Coturnix japonica: one gene and its partners. The protein of the gene in region 3 binds, or shares a complex with, the protein of the main gene of each other region. Links are inferred from orthologs where the notes say so. Each region holds a gene or a part of one and is shown on either strand. Other genes may lie near its edges.

Region 1 (4,800 bases), on a different chromosome or scaffold from region 3:
CCTATTGCTTCCTAAAGCAGTAATGATAAAAAATAAACACAGATATGATGGAGAAGCACCGTGTGTTGGAATACAAGATGAAGCTGAGCCTTACCATGCTTGTTACAGAAACAAACTCTGTATCCGCATACTGCAACAAAGCATCCCCGGGGAAATAAAAATGAAGGTTATATTCTCCTTCATGTTTAGATTGTCAGTGTTAGATTGTCCCAGCCAAGTCTGGTGAGCCCAGACCATCTGAACACTGCTTTTTTCAGCTCCTTCCTCAAACATCCCAGCACCTTTCTATGTGAAAGTGGGTGAAATTCTTTAAACGCTGGAGGAGATGGAAGGCACCAGAATGGTTGAGAAAGGGGGGGGGAAATACTTCAGTGTTAAATCAGCATAGGAGATAACAGAATCTCAGAATGGATCACAGAATGACCCGGGTTGGAAGGGACCTCAAGGATCATGTAGTTCCAACCCCCCTGCCTGGCAGGGCCACCAAACATACACCTTTACTAGATCAGGTTGCCCAGAAGTTGTGCTCCTATTCACACTGTGCTCTAGCAGTGCTCCAGCCCAGCCCTGTCCAGCTACTCGTCGAGCCCACAAGCGTGCTCACAACTTCCTCTTGCTTTCCGAGAATCACCTCGCTCCTCCTATGCTAATCCCACACGCTGCCTAGCAAGAGATGTGGAGGCTCTGCCTACACACACACCGTGTGTCCCGCACCATTCGTTCTCGTGGTCAGTGAGCGGGCAGGGCAGCGGGCAGAGCTGCTGCTTCCCATCCCCACAGCTGAGATGCGGCAATGTGCCACGTGACAGCCGGGTAAGGCTGTGTCACATCTTGCACCGAGAAGGAGCAGGGTGGAGCTGCGGCTGGAATCTCCATCAATATGAACGCCTGGAGGGAGGAATCTCCCTCTTCCAGCGAGGATGGTTCTGCTCCGTGATATCTTCGGTGCGGGTCTCTAAGGGGGAACCTCCCCGAGCCCTGCACTGTGTGAGGCAGCACACGGGGCAGCTCCCCGCCCCACACGCTCGAGGGAAGGAAGGCGGTGCGGGCTGAGGTGAATGCGGCCATCCAGCACCTCGATATAAAATAAACCAGCCTTTCCAACACGGGCAGCGTTCAGCATTCCAACACCCCCCCCTTTCCTCCTCCTTTTCTTCCTCCTCCTCCCCCTCGCAGGCCCCGGGGCCCTCGTCCCGCACCCCATCCCGGCGGGGTTTGCTCTCGAGCCCGGCGGGGCCGCTGTGACTCCTCGGCCCGGGTGTGAGACACAAAGGCGGCACACACACACAGAGCGGGGAGCGCCGGGGGCCGGCGGGGATAAGGGGGACGCGCGCTCCCGCGGGCGGGGCCCGGTCTCGGCCTGCGCCGGGGGAGGCGCGTGCTCGCGCTCTTGCCCTCTCCGTTGCCATGGCGCCGCTTGACGTCACGGGCGCTGCGCTGTCCGCGCGGGAGCGGCGCGGTGATTGGCGGAGCCGCCGTGTGTGGCGCTGGGAAAGAGGCTGCAGCGCCGCGAGCCGCGACACACACACACACACAGCGCCGCGAGCCCCGACACACCGCGCCTCGAGCCGCACCGAGCAGGTAACGGGGCCCCACACCGACCGACCGCCGGCTCCAGCGGGCGGCAGGCGGGCAGCCAACGGCCCCGGCCCCTCCTGTAGAGCGGGCAGCGAGCGGGGCGGGGGGGGCTGGCGGGGAGGGCGGCGGGGGGAACACGGCTCGGCGGGGCGGGGAGCCTCAGCGCGGGGCCCTCAGCGCGGAGCGGGGGGATACGGCTCACGGCTCCCCCCCCTTCCTCCCTCCTTCCGCCGCCTCGGGCCGGGCAGGCGGCATCCTCCTCCTCCTCCTCCTCCTGCCGCTCCGCCGCCCCCGTTGCCGTGCGGAGGTGATCGGGATTAGGGCGCACGGCGGTGGGCAGGGCTGCGGCTCCCGGCCGCCATGACAAAGGCGCGGGCGCGGCGCTGTGTGGCTCGGCGGAGGGCGGATGCGGCGGGCGCGGATGGGGCGGAGCCGCCCCGAGGCGGGGGCCGGGCGCTGCTCTGTGCTGCGCTGTGCTGAGCCGTGCTGCCCTGCCCGCCGCCCGCGGCTCCATCTTACGGCGGAGCGCGGCCCAACCGCGGTCTTGGCGCTCGGTGCGGGCAGTGCGGGCCTCGGAGCTCCTTAAAATGGCTCCTGAGAGCGGGGCGGATCGACGTGCTGCGGCCTCCAGCCTCGGGCTGCTCAAAGGGCCGGGGGACCGGACGGCTGAAACGCGCTCGGGTTTTGTCGTCTGTGGGAGGTTTACACCAAGAAACTCGTGGTTTCTTGGTGTAAAATGACAATAGGTTGCAGGGTAAGGTGCGGGGTTTTGTGTGTGGAACGCGTGGGAATGAATAAAGCATCCTGACCAAAGCGGGTTTTGGTTAAACGAGCTTTGAAGGATGATAGGTCACCAAACACCAGAGGACCGTGCCAGGTACATAAAAAGGTGGGGGGAGGAAGGGTTGTTCTCCCTTCCCCCCCAATAGGCACAAGGGTCTCTATCAGGAGCCCAAGCCTTGACTGGATCCAGGTTATGAAGCATCCCAACCAGCTTGTGCTAGTGAAATACTGACATCGACGTCATATTTCTTCCCAATTGTAAAAATCTCTTTGTCTCTGGAATATAACCCCTCAGGCCCAGGAGCTGTATCTGGGTCAGAAGGCCAGCGTAGCCTGACTGGAGAAGGGAGGTTCCCACCATGGGAGGTGCGGTCCTTCCAGCTTAGGGCTCTGCTCTGTTCTGGCTCTAGAGCATCGGATGTGGGGTTTGATTGGCACATCCCTCTTCCAGTCCTTTCTGGATGGAGCAGTAAGGTTCTTTTAAGGCACGGAGTTGTATGATACTGTTTGCCTGGCCTTTTTTTTGTCAGTTCCTCTGGCAAAAATACAGTTGGCTATTTTCTTTATCAATTTAGTTGCATTCATAATTAGGTGCAGTTGACACCGAAGCTTGAATGTGCTCTAAAGAGAAAGTGATGGCAAGGAACTGGGATCACGTGTGCACTTAAGATGGGAATTATTTGCTTCTGGTTTCTTTGGATGCTTTTATTTGCGTTTCAGAAATAACTTAAACCATTTAACTTTGCTTCTCTCTTAAAAAAAGAAAAAAAAGGACTTTATGTTTGAGTGTTTGTGTGCCTTGCATTCCAGATTTCAGCTGTACTTCTTAATTCCAGGCTACTTAAAGGATGGCTGTTCTGCGTGTGAGGTTGAAACATCTTTGTCCTTAACCGTTGTCTTAATAACGCCTCGCTATTTTTTCCTCTTCAGAAATCTCAGCATGGATAAAAATGAGCTAGTGCAAAAGGCCAAACTGGCTGAGCAGGCTGAAAGATATGATGACATGGCGAGTTGCATGAAGTCCGTGACCGAGCAAGGAGCCGAGCTGTCCAATGAAGAGAGGAATCTCCTCTCTGTTGCCTATAAAAATGTTGTAGGAGCCCGTAGGTCATCTTGGAGAGTCGTCTCAAGTATCGAACAAAAGACGGAAGGCGCTGAGAAAAAACAGCAGATGGCTCGAGAATACAGAGAGAAAATTGAGACTGAGCTAAGAGACATCTGCAATGATGTGCTGGTGAGAAATAACAAAACTGTTGTTGTGTTTTACCTTAGGGTTGCAGGGTGAATGGTGCCGGGTCTCGTTAGGGATGCCTCTATCTGACCTTTAATTAAAGACAGTGTCCTACAGTATTTCTGAAGGACAAGACTAGAAAACTGTCTAACTTTTCACGGAATCACAGAATTAGCAAGGTTGGAAAAGACCTAGAAGATCATCTAGTCCAACCATTACCAATACTTCCCAGCTAAATCATATTCATCAACACAACATCCAAACGTTTCTTGAACACTCCCATGGTCGGTGACTCCACCACCTCCATGTGCAGTGCATTCCAATGCCTGACTACCCTTTCTGAGAAGTAATATTTCCTAATGTCCAGCCTGAATCTCCCCTGGCGCAGCTTAAAACCATTCCCTCTAGTTCTATCACTAATTACACAAGAGGCCAACCCCCAGCTCACTACAACCTCCCTTTTCTTTCCCTCTAACGTATCAATTCTTTTATATGGGAGTATAATTACAAGCACCAGTATATTTGGAGACATGTTTAAACCTTGTGTTAACTTTTCATAACTATTCCTTTATATGCAGTATTTATTTGAGACTGAAGAGGGGAAGGTTTGGTTTGGGGTTTTCCAGTCCTCCCCTACATGGTAATTGTGTCCCAGATCACACTGATTTCTGTGACTTTAAAATGCTGCACTGGTTGTAAGAGGTAGTTCTTACTCTACGGAAATTGTGCCCCTCCCTGTTTAAGATGATGTAATGTTAGTTATGACTCAGCCATGCAGAAAGCTGCCTGCAGGAAGAGGCAGTAGCAATGCTACGCTAGCCTCTTAAACTTTAGGCTTTCAGAAGTAAACAAAAAAGGAGAGTTCCAAGCTAAGATTTGCTGTGACTTGTAGATATGTTAAAGTCTATGTACACTGTTGGTAGATACATGTTTTTCTTTGCAGTGGGAAATGGTGTCATAAAATCTGAATCTCTTCCAGATGCTTGTTCTACATTGTCAGTTTTTCCTATTGCCAGTACCAATAGTGCCACAGTGAGCACACGAGCAGAGGGTGTCCTGTCCTGCCACCAGCTGGGAGGTACCTGGTGCTGTCAGCTGGACACGGACCCTACTGGTGTGTCCTGTGCATCCAGGTCATATACATGGACGTGACCATGGTGTGTGATAGGGGGGGAGTCTTAAGTAGCTGAGCACGTGCTTGAAGACCT
Region 2 (4,836 bases), on a different chromosome or scaffold from region 3:
AGCTGAAGAATATCAGTTTCAAGTAACACACTGAGAAATCCTGACGACATGCAGAAGTACAGTACAGCAACTTCACAACCTTCTGTATGCCACTGGTATTCCTCCTGCTGCAAGGCCAGAGAAAGGCCCAGCTGTCTTACAGACAATTCATAGTCCTTATTGACCATATCTCAAACCATCACCCATAGAAAATGCAGTGCTCATCACCTGAACATCACACTAGCGGCAGACAAGACTACGTAGTAATTAAGGTATGCTTGCATGAACAAGGCTTTAGGCCTGCTGCAGTAACAGCCCATATGTACTTCACTTATGACATGAAGCAGCCTACCCAAAACACTGCAAGAAGGACCAGCTCCCACTTACTGCCAGCTCAGGCCTCAGAGATGCATGCCATGAAGACACAGCACTGTCCCTATACTGCCAGGCCTGGCAGGAAGGTCCCTGCACACCTACCATCAGCTATTGAGGCCAGAGCCCTCCTGACAGCGACTCTTTGTCCAGATGCCCACCCAACAGAGATTCCTCAGCAGGGACCCCGCATACAAACACAAAAAGATGAAGCCAGTCCAACAGCAAGTAATGAAAAGCAGATAATGCAAATGGATGTCACTGTGTGGCAATGCACTACCAGCATCACCACTGTTACACCTCTGTAACACAGAAAAAGTACATCTCAAGTCAGATATACTGCACAACTTGCTGCATCTTCTGCTCCCGCTCACCTACTGCACTCCCTCTCAATGTCCAGTTCCCATGGGATGGCTTTCAGCCCCAGCTGTCTACAAGAAGCCAGAAAACAGCTTCAACTGCGACTTGTTGCCTCACAGCTTTTAAAAGCAGGTATCACGTATATTAATGCAGCTCATTTGCAGAGCTTTGATGGGTGACACCAAGACTGAGAAACATGAGAGGCGAATCCCTGCCTGCAGAGCCCAGTGAGTGCTCTCCTATACTCAGCATCAACAGAAGGATAATCAACCTGCCCTTCCTGTCAGATCTGATACAGATACATTATAGGGTTTTCCCATCTTCTTTAAAGCAAGCATCTATGTAACTAATGAGCTACAAACATGCCATCAAATGAGAACACAAACAACAAGGTCAAACAATTCACTGTGGACGATACACTGCTGAGGCTGAAGTTGCATTCTTGTCAGGATAAGAGGAAACAACTTGGAGCAGTCAAACAACATTTGAATACTTAAGATAGCAGGAGAGCCTTCAGATAACAGAACGATACAGTTTATAACATGCTGCCCATCCAGACATAAGGCTCCGCAAACCACTGCAGGCAGCGCATGAACACTGCAGGGAGTGCGATGGTATTTCAAACATATAATATGGAAAACTGTACAGCTAGGTGACACTGGAACAGACTTGCTGACACTAAGCACGCTGCCCCCCCCCAAGTGCAGGATACAGCCTACACCTCCACTGAGCCATCTCCACCGACTGAGCTTTGTACCAGTTCCACAGGCAAAATTAGCTGTCAAAAGCGCTTCTGTCAGCTGCCTCTGTCTTTCTCAGAGCTGGAATAAAGCAGCTTTGAAGGCTCTTCAATACAGCAGCTCAGCTTCCGTGGTGTTTTTCACATTGTGTTTACACGCATTCCCACCTTGTCCTGTCACTGAGCAGTTTTGCAAGGTACCACCTCAGACAAGCATCAGCAGTCAGTGTAACATGCCTCAGGTATTTTGTTCCAAATCAGCTTTCCAGGAAGCGCATGCATTATGAATGCATTATGAGCAGAGCTCAGTTTACACACTGATACAGAACAGCAGCTGCTTAACTGGTGATCACCCGCTTACCCTTCAGCATCCAGTGACTTCTTTAGCCTCCCTGCCCCAGCTCCCACAGCAGCACTTTAAGCAAATACCAAAGGTGCCACTCTTAGATAATAGCTTATGTTTTCTGCTCGCTTCATGGAAGCAGCATAAGCAGTTAACATCATATATAGAAGCTCTGGCATCAGCCAGCATTAAGATCAAGTCTGCCAAACAACACCCCACCTCTGGACCAGCACAGTCTTAAGAATAACAATGAGAAGTGAGGCCTCAGCACTGATCTATGCTGACAAGTACCAGCCTTCACATCCCCCAGATGTTACTCCTTTAAGTAAAGCAGGGAGATGTGTGTGTCTCTCAGCATCCACACAGCTGCCCACGTCCATGGTTGTTGTCACAGTGGATAAACTGAAACAACTTGGAAACAAGAGCACTTATTTTCAGAGCCATGCAGGTGTAGAATGAACTGAGCCTTCAATAAGAAGGCAGCAACAAGAAAGAGACACCTGAGACACAGCAGATACACCGCAATATCTGTAACCTGGATGCAAGTAGCACCTCAATGACCCCTCACCCTTCAAAAGGAGATGAATGTAAGGTGTAATTACCACAGGATGAGAAGCACTGGCAGCACACTACATGCTATGACTGAGTTGTTTCACTTTTACACCACTACTCGTTTTGGTCGAACATCAAACTGAAGACACCATGAGATAACACTCGACTGAGATAAGGAATTTCCCGCTGCAGAGATATTCCTTCCCACAGTGTGATTTACAAACAAATACTCAGTAGGAAACAAACTCCCTCGAGCTCCATGTTTTACAGAGCAGCACGTTGGGAGCTGCAGTGCCTCCAGCCCAACACGTGGCTGCGGCAACTTCTGGCACAGAAAACCCAGCCCTTCCTGGTTCACAGAACAGCACAGGTTAAAAAACAAGCACAAAATCAAACGCAGAGACACCAGCAGCAGCAGCAGCCCCATCTCGGCCCGCAGGATCGGAGCGCTGTGCTGCACCTGGCGGGGAGCCGCGCTGTGACACCCGGCTGTGCCCACACAGCCCAGCCCGCTCCTTCCCACAGACACGGCGGTGCGAGGCGCAGCCCCGACGGCACTTAAAGCCAACGTGCCCTCCCCGCGTTCCCACGGCTGTTCCCTCAGCATCCAAAAGCGAGGATGCTTTATTAATTTATTTCCTCCCGCTTTCAGGCCGGTGCTGCGCACCCCCCGCCCCAGCTCCCCGGTGCAGTTACCCTTGAAGAAGCGCAGTGCCAGCCCGTACAGCTCCTCCAGCGCGAAGCCCCAGCTCCGCTCCGGGCTCAGCGCCGCCTCCTCCCCGCCGGCCTCCACCTGGCTCTGGCAGCCGGGCCCCGCTCGGTTCCGCCCCGCGGCCGAATCCCCGTGTCCGGGCCGCGCTTCGCAGGGCGGCGCCTCAGCGTTGGGGCTCAGGGTCAGCCCGTCCACAGACACCTCCAGCCGCTCCGCGCTCAGAGCCACCGCCATCCTCCGGCTCCGCTGCGGCGGCCACGTCCCGACTTCCCGTTCCCTCCGACCCGGAACATCCGGCCCCGTCCCGCCTGGTACCGCCCCCATAGCAGGCCGCTCTCAGCTCCGCCCCCTCTATGGGCTCCCCTCGTTTCTGTTCGTTCAGGTTTCGGCTGAGGATCACAAATAGAGGACTACAGAACAACGGAGCATCGCCTCCTTCAGTCAGTTTTACTTCCCAGGGCACGCAGCTCTGGCTGTGTGGCACCATCTCATGCACCGAGCTAACGGCAGCACAGATAACGCTATCTCGTTCATGCCTGCACCCTGCTTTGCAAGCATCAGATCCGGCTTCGCATCAAGACTTGTTAGTTCATCTGCAAGATGACCTTCAGTCTGCTGTCAGTTTTCATCTGGCACGTTTCCTGCTTAGTTTGCAGAGGCCACCCTTACATACATACATACATACATATATATTTGCATTAATTTTGTGGTTTAACACATAGTAAGCTTAACATTCATCTTTCCACTTCAAGAAATGTTGAGTTCTTTATCCCAAAATACATCCTTAAAGAAACTGACATTCTTACTGGTCCCTGTGGGGTTTGCTGTGTTTCTGTAAGATGGAAGGGAATAGTTCCATTTTATACACCAGCAAACCCAGAGGCGTTTCTGCTTCATGGCAGAAGCTGCCTGCAGTCAGGCAGCCCTTAGTTTCCCCACATGTCTGGAGGCCAAGCTGAATCCAAGCTGCTCCGCGAGTTTGACAAGCTGATGTGGAGAAGGATGGCAGAAAACTGATTGATCTCATAGCAGGGTCTCTCTTGTACCAAATATTTGATGCTTCTAGTAAACATGTGACTATTTGTCTCTTCTTGTGCCAGCCCTGCTATGTCCTACAACAGACATGCCAGCAGAGCGGGTTTCTCCACTGTATGCAGTGTAGTCTGCTGGAGAGGTCCCAGCTGGAGAGCAAGACATCTGTCAGTGTAGCATCCAACTGAGCATGGCTATGGCCGGCATGCTCTGCTGCAGCTCTGCAGCCTGGTGTGTGGCTGTTCAGAGCCACCAGGCAGCACAGATTTACCCTCAGCGTCTCTCTGCACAGCTGTCTGGTGAGCGTCGGATGGACCCACTACATCCACTCTGCTCTGCTCCATGTGCTTTGGGGCCCTGTTTATAAAGACAGATACAGTGTCGGTACAAAATACAAAAAAAAAAATTGCAGGTTCAGATTTTGAGTCTGGAAATTCATGTCTGGACCACATTCAAGCCCCAGAGAGGCAGTTTAGTCCAGCAACAGTGGCCTCCGCTAGGAAACGCAGTCATAGAAGCTTTATGTAGAAGAAATCAATTATTTAATTCAAGCTGGTGAATGTTTAGCAGTGAAAAATACCAGCCATCTGCAAGCGCACAGTGAACCATTAACAAGTTATGGAGCACCATAATGACTTAAACAAACCATTCTGCTCTTCCTGGTATCCTTCCTCCCACAGTAGGTGAAATGTGTGCTCCCAGCCGCCAGGGCTGTGCCTTCAGGTTCCCCCTGGTGTAGGGCTTCCA
Region 3 (4,294 bases):
TGACAGTTCTTTTCCCCTCTGTGAGCCCTGCGCCGCTGTGGGGTTGTTATGCAGTCACAAGGAAGCTATTAGTTTCAACACTGTTATTGCTTACGGTGAGATTAGGCCTGATGGAATTAGCATATCCCTGTAATTAATGCACTCAGAAACTCTGATTGTTTCTTTTTGGGAGGAGAACATTAAAACCAATCACTGAGAGTGGACCTGGGGGGGACAGAGTGCCGTCATCACCTCTTTTTGGATGAAATCAATGGATGTGGGGCTCTGCAGTGGGGCAGAGTGGGGGGAGCAGAGGGTGGAAGAGAGCTTGAAAGGACAAGGAAGGGGAAACCGTGTTGGTTTGTGTTGGTTTTTATGGATGCCAGCCCTTGGGTTTGGAGCCCGGCATGGAAGGCAGCAGTGTTGCAATGGGGGGCAAAGTGAAACAAGAAATGCAAAGTGATGGCGATGAACCTGGAGCTAAACTACTGCTTTTTCTCCTCCTCCCCCCCCCTCCTTCCTCTCTCTGACCGCGCTGCCACCACCCAAAAATGGCCACCAAAACCCCTTCCATCCATTTCCCAGGAGCTCTCCTCGAGCACGGAAAGCCTTGATAACTCATTCTGTTCCGTAAGTGGTTTTGTTCTGCTCCTGGGCCCTCCGTCCTACAGCAGCATTTCCTCTGCCTCCCCCACCTCCAAACCCCACTGCGGCCGCACAGCACCGACCCCCACGTAACTGCTGACCCCGACATCACACCAAAGGCTTTCTGCCCCATTTGGGGATCAAACAAACCCACAGCTGGGGGTTGGACCTGGCTGCTCATCACCAAACCAAAGTGGGCACGATGGAGGGGGCTTCCCCTCCCACTGAGCTGTGAGTCCTGCCCTGCCACGCGCTGCCCTTTGTGTCACAGTGTTTGCAGACAAAAGAGGAAATGCTGTTTTCCTTGAATTTGTCCTTATTTGAAACAAAAATCCTCTGCTAGCTGGGGTTTCATTTGCTTCTTCCACGGATCATTTCCCCCCCTCCTTGCGTTGCACTTTGGGCTGTCAATCCAACCCAGCACCCCCCAGCAGAGCCTCCTTTTGCTGTGAGCCTTCTTTCAGTTTGGAGCCAATCGCATCTTTCTCATTTGTTCCATCCTCCTCTTCCTCCTCTCCGTGTTCCCTGGTTGGGATTTACAGTGGGATCCCAATATGTAGTCCATGCTCAAACCCATTGCCCTGGGCAGCAGCAAGTGATGCCTCATACATCCACAGCCCTCAGGGTAGGAACTGGAGGGGGAGGATGGGACTGGGGTATCCCCAGCACCTCACATGGGCACCCATCCCCTCCTCATATTCCTCTGGAGCTCAAGAATCCTTTGCTGAGAGCAGGAAACAAACCTGCAGCAGTGCACCCATGGCACAGTGCTGTGCCACCCCCACCAACCCTGCTCAGATGTGGGCTCTCCTCTTTGGGGTTTTGTTTTCAGGTTGGATATTAGGAAGTATTTCTTGGTACATTGGAAGGGGAAGGCGGTGGGGTCACTAATGCAGAATGGCAGAGATGTAGCACTTGGGGACATGGTGAGGGGGGCTGGGGAGATGAGTTGGGATCTGGAATGATCTTTTCCAACTTCAGTGGTGCTGCAATTGGGCAGAGCGGGATGGATGGGGTGGCACTGGGTGATCTCAGAGGTCTTTTCCAACCCTAAAGACTGCGTGGTCCTTTTTAGGGACGTGGATAGTGGGCATGGGGAGGATGGGTTGGGGTTGGATGTGGTGACCTGAGGGATCTTTTCCAACCTCAGTGACCCTATAAGTGGGCACAGTGGTGGGGGTAGGCTGATGGTTGGCCATGATGATCTTAGTGGTCTTTTCCAACCTCAGTGATCCTATGGGATCTCCTCCATCTCGGTGTTTGGAGGCACAGCAGGAGGTGAGGAGTCCACGCTAGAGGCTGGGAGGGAAGTGGGGGGTTGGCTGATGCTGCTGTATCTGCCCTCCCTTTGCTTTTCAGGGCTCAGGATGGTGCCAGCCCTGCAGCCCCAGGCAGCCATAGCCAATAGCAGGAGCACCCTCAGCCAGGAGAGCTTTCCTTCCAGGCTGTGCAAGCCCTGCTCCTTTATCTGAAGCAGAAGTGCAGCCACCTGGGCTCTTTGCAAGCATTTATCCCAAATTTACCAATGGGGAAGGATGGGGGACCCACACCTTGTTGGCTCAAAGGGGGGGTGGGCTCACAGAATACAACATCTCGGGTTGGCACCTGGATTTGGAGGACTGAGGGAAGAACCTCATCTCAATCCCAATAATGCCAAGCAGTGCTGAGCTGGGGGATGTGCTTGGAGCAGATGGGCTGGGGAGGGCTGTCCTTGGCCACGTGTTTGTGGTCAGAGGAGCTGAGAGCTGAATGTTTCCATCCAGAACATGAATGGCAGAGGATGGGTTGAGGAGCAGTGCAGTGCTGCTGGCATCAGGGGAAGGAGCTGTGGGGTCTGGGGGGAGCAGGGCTGAAAGTGATGGGGAAGATGGGCCTCTGCTGGAGCTGCATGGATTGATCCCAGCCTGGACTGGGTTGGACTTTGCACAATGGCAGCTGGGAGTGCTGCCTGGTCCCAAGTAGCCTCCACAGTGACCCACGGGGTGGGCACACATCCAGTCCCACAGCTGTGCAGCCTGGATTGTAGACATTCCATAGCAGAGCGGTGGGAGAGAAAGGGAAGCGGTGCTGGAAGGAGCAGAACATCTCCAGGACATCATTCTGCTCTGGGAAGAAATGGGATCCAACAGAGCAGAATGGCCCCAAAGGCTGCAGAAGTGCCTTGGGCAGCAGTGGGGCTGAGCCCTGGCTGGGGGGGGTTTAGATGAGGACTACACTGCATTCCCATTGCCCCCTCCCAAAGGGAATGAGCAGTGCTGCTCCTCTTCCACCATTTCTTTCCTTTGCTCTTGGCCAGTTTTTGTTTTGCTGCCTTCTCTCATGCACCGCTGCTTGTTGCATGTGCATTTCCTGCATGGTTGTGCAGTGAGCACGTTGTGTGTGAGTTCAGTCCTGCATTTCTCGTGGCGAAAAATCAGCCATTAATCACTCCTTGTGCTGATTGATTGGGAACTTTGTCTTTCGAAGGCTGCCCTTCACCTGCGGGTTATGAGGGCCACAAAGCTGCACTTCGATCTGTGCCTGATGATTGGGATACAGAGGGGGCTCAGAGCTGTGCTGTGTGGGATCCCGGAGCTGTGGGGTGGATGTGGGGATTGATGGGGCTCCAGGAGGGGATCTCTGGGTCTGTGATGGGAGGGAGAGGCGTTGGATCATCCCATATCGGAGCGCAGGGTGGGATGGGGAGAGCAGTGTTCCCTCTGGAGCTAAATGAGCAGCATGCCCAACCCGCAGCCCTCCTCACTCTGTGCCCTCCTTTCCCCTGCAGCCCGTCAGGCTGGCACCCGAGCGGGAGTTCATCAAATCCCTGATGGCCATCGGGAAGCGCCTGGCCACGCTGCCCACCAAAGAGCAGAAAACACAGCGGCTCATCTCGGAGCTGTCGCTGCTCAACCACAAACTGCCTGCGCGCGCATGGCTGCCCACGGCCGGCTTCGACCACCACGTGGTCAGGGTGCCTCACACGCAGGCGGTGGTGCTCAACTCCAAGGACAAGGTGAGCTTTGGGGTGTAGAAGGTTTGGTCCTCTCTGAGCATCCCCCTCTGCTCAGCATTCACCCCATGAGGCCAGAGAGCAGCTCTGCGCTCAAACAGCCCCATAACATCACTTTGCTTCCTCCAGGCTCCCTATTTAATCTACGTGGAAGTGCTTGAATGTGACAATTTCGACACAGCGAATGTCCCAGCGAGGATCCCTGAGAACCGAATCCGGAGCACGCGGTCGGCTGAGAACCTCCCCGAGTGTGGGATCACAGCTGAGCAGAGGACAGGCAGCTTCACCACCGTCCCCAACTACGACAACGACGACGAGGCCTGGTCTGTGGATGACATCGTGGAGCTGCAGGTGGAGGTGAGGCTGTGCTGCCATACAGAGAGACCCCGCAGTGCAGCCAGCAGAACCTTCTGAGGGTCAGCAAAGCCAATGCAGGGTGTGGGTCACTGCAGACTCTGCTGTCGCTGCAGGTTGAGGATGGAAGAATGGAGTGCAGTGCTGCTGAAAGGACTTGAGGGCAATGGCACAGATTGCCCTGGGAGGTGGTGCTGCCCCATCCCTGCACACCTCTGTGGTCAGGCTGGTGGGCTGTGAGCTCTGATGGAGCTGTGGGTGTCCCCTTTCATACAGAGGGTTTGGATGAAACGTCCTTTTAGGGCCCCTTTAACCCAAACCATT

Evidence for each region. Proteins that work in one complex are often made in the same cells at the same time.
Region 1: the proteins of PI4KB (region 3) and YWHAZ are in contact, whole or in part, in a crystal structure (PDB 5NAS), measured with the Homo sapiens proteins. The link is inferred for Coturnix japonica from reciprocal best matches to the Homo sapiens genes PI4KB and YWHAZ. Residues at the interface, in NP_001317650.1 of Homo sapiens: Lys290, Arg291, Thr292, Ala293, Ser294, Asn295, Pro296, Lys297; in NP_001129171.1 of Homo sapiens: Asn42, Ser45, Val46, Lys49, Arg56, Phe117, Lys120, Arg127, Tyr128, Gly169, Leu172, Asn173, Val176, Tyr179, Glu180, Leu216, Ile217, Leu220, Asn224, Leu227, Trp228.
Region 2: the proteins of PI4KB (region 3) and ACBD3 are in contact, whole or in part, in an NMR structure (PDB 2N73), measured with the Homo sapiens proteins. The link is inferred for Coturnix japonica from reciprocal best matches to the Homo sapiens genes PI4KB and ACBD3. Residues at the interface, in NP_001317650.1 of Homo sapiens: Val37, Gly38, Val42, Ile43, Asp44, Pro45, Val47, Ala48, Gln49, Lys50, Ala51, Cys52, Glu54, Val55, Leu56, Val59, Lys60, His63; in NP_073572.2 of Homo sapiens: Gln245, Ile246, Ala249, Leu250, Gln253, Thr254, Gln257, Phe258, Tyr261, Gln265, Tyr266, Leu276, Leu280, Gln283, His284, Gln287, Tyr288, Gln291, Leu292, Val295.

The regions. Positions count from the first base shown.
Region 1 is NC_029517.1:116,495,928-116,500,727, reverse strand, and holds the start of YWHAZ (14-3-3 protein zeta/delta), read left to right. Parts: upstream 1-1,446; 5' UTR 1,447-1,581; intron 1,582-3,291; 5' UTR 3,292-3,301; coding exon 3,302-3,595; intron 3,596-4,800.
Region 2 is NC_029518.1:14,888,942-14,893,777, reverse strand, and holds the start of ACBD3 (Golgi resident protein GCP60), read right to left. Parts: upstream 3,355-4,836; 5' UTR 3,292-3,354; coding exon 3,042-3,291; intron 1-3,041. UniProt on the Homo sapiens protein: Involved in the maintenance of Golgi structure by interacting with giantin, affecting protein transport between the endoplasmic reticulum and Golgi. Involved in hormone-induced steroid biosynthesis in testicular Leydig cells.
Region 3 is NC_029540.1:2,286,798-2,291,091, reverse strand, and holds part of PI4KB (phosphatidylinositol 4-kinase beta), read left to right. Parts: intron 1-564; coding exon 565-609; intron 610-3,391; coding exon 3,392-3,619; intron 3,620-3,745; coding exon 3,746-3,973; intron 3,974-4,294. UniProt on the Homo sapiens protein: Phosphorylates phosphatidylinositol (PI) in the first committed step in the production of the second messenger inositol-1,4,5,-trisphosphate (PIP). May regulate Golgi disintegration/reorganization during mitosis, possibly via its phosphorylation.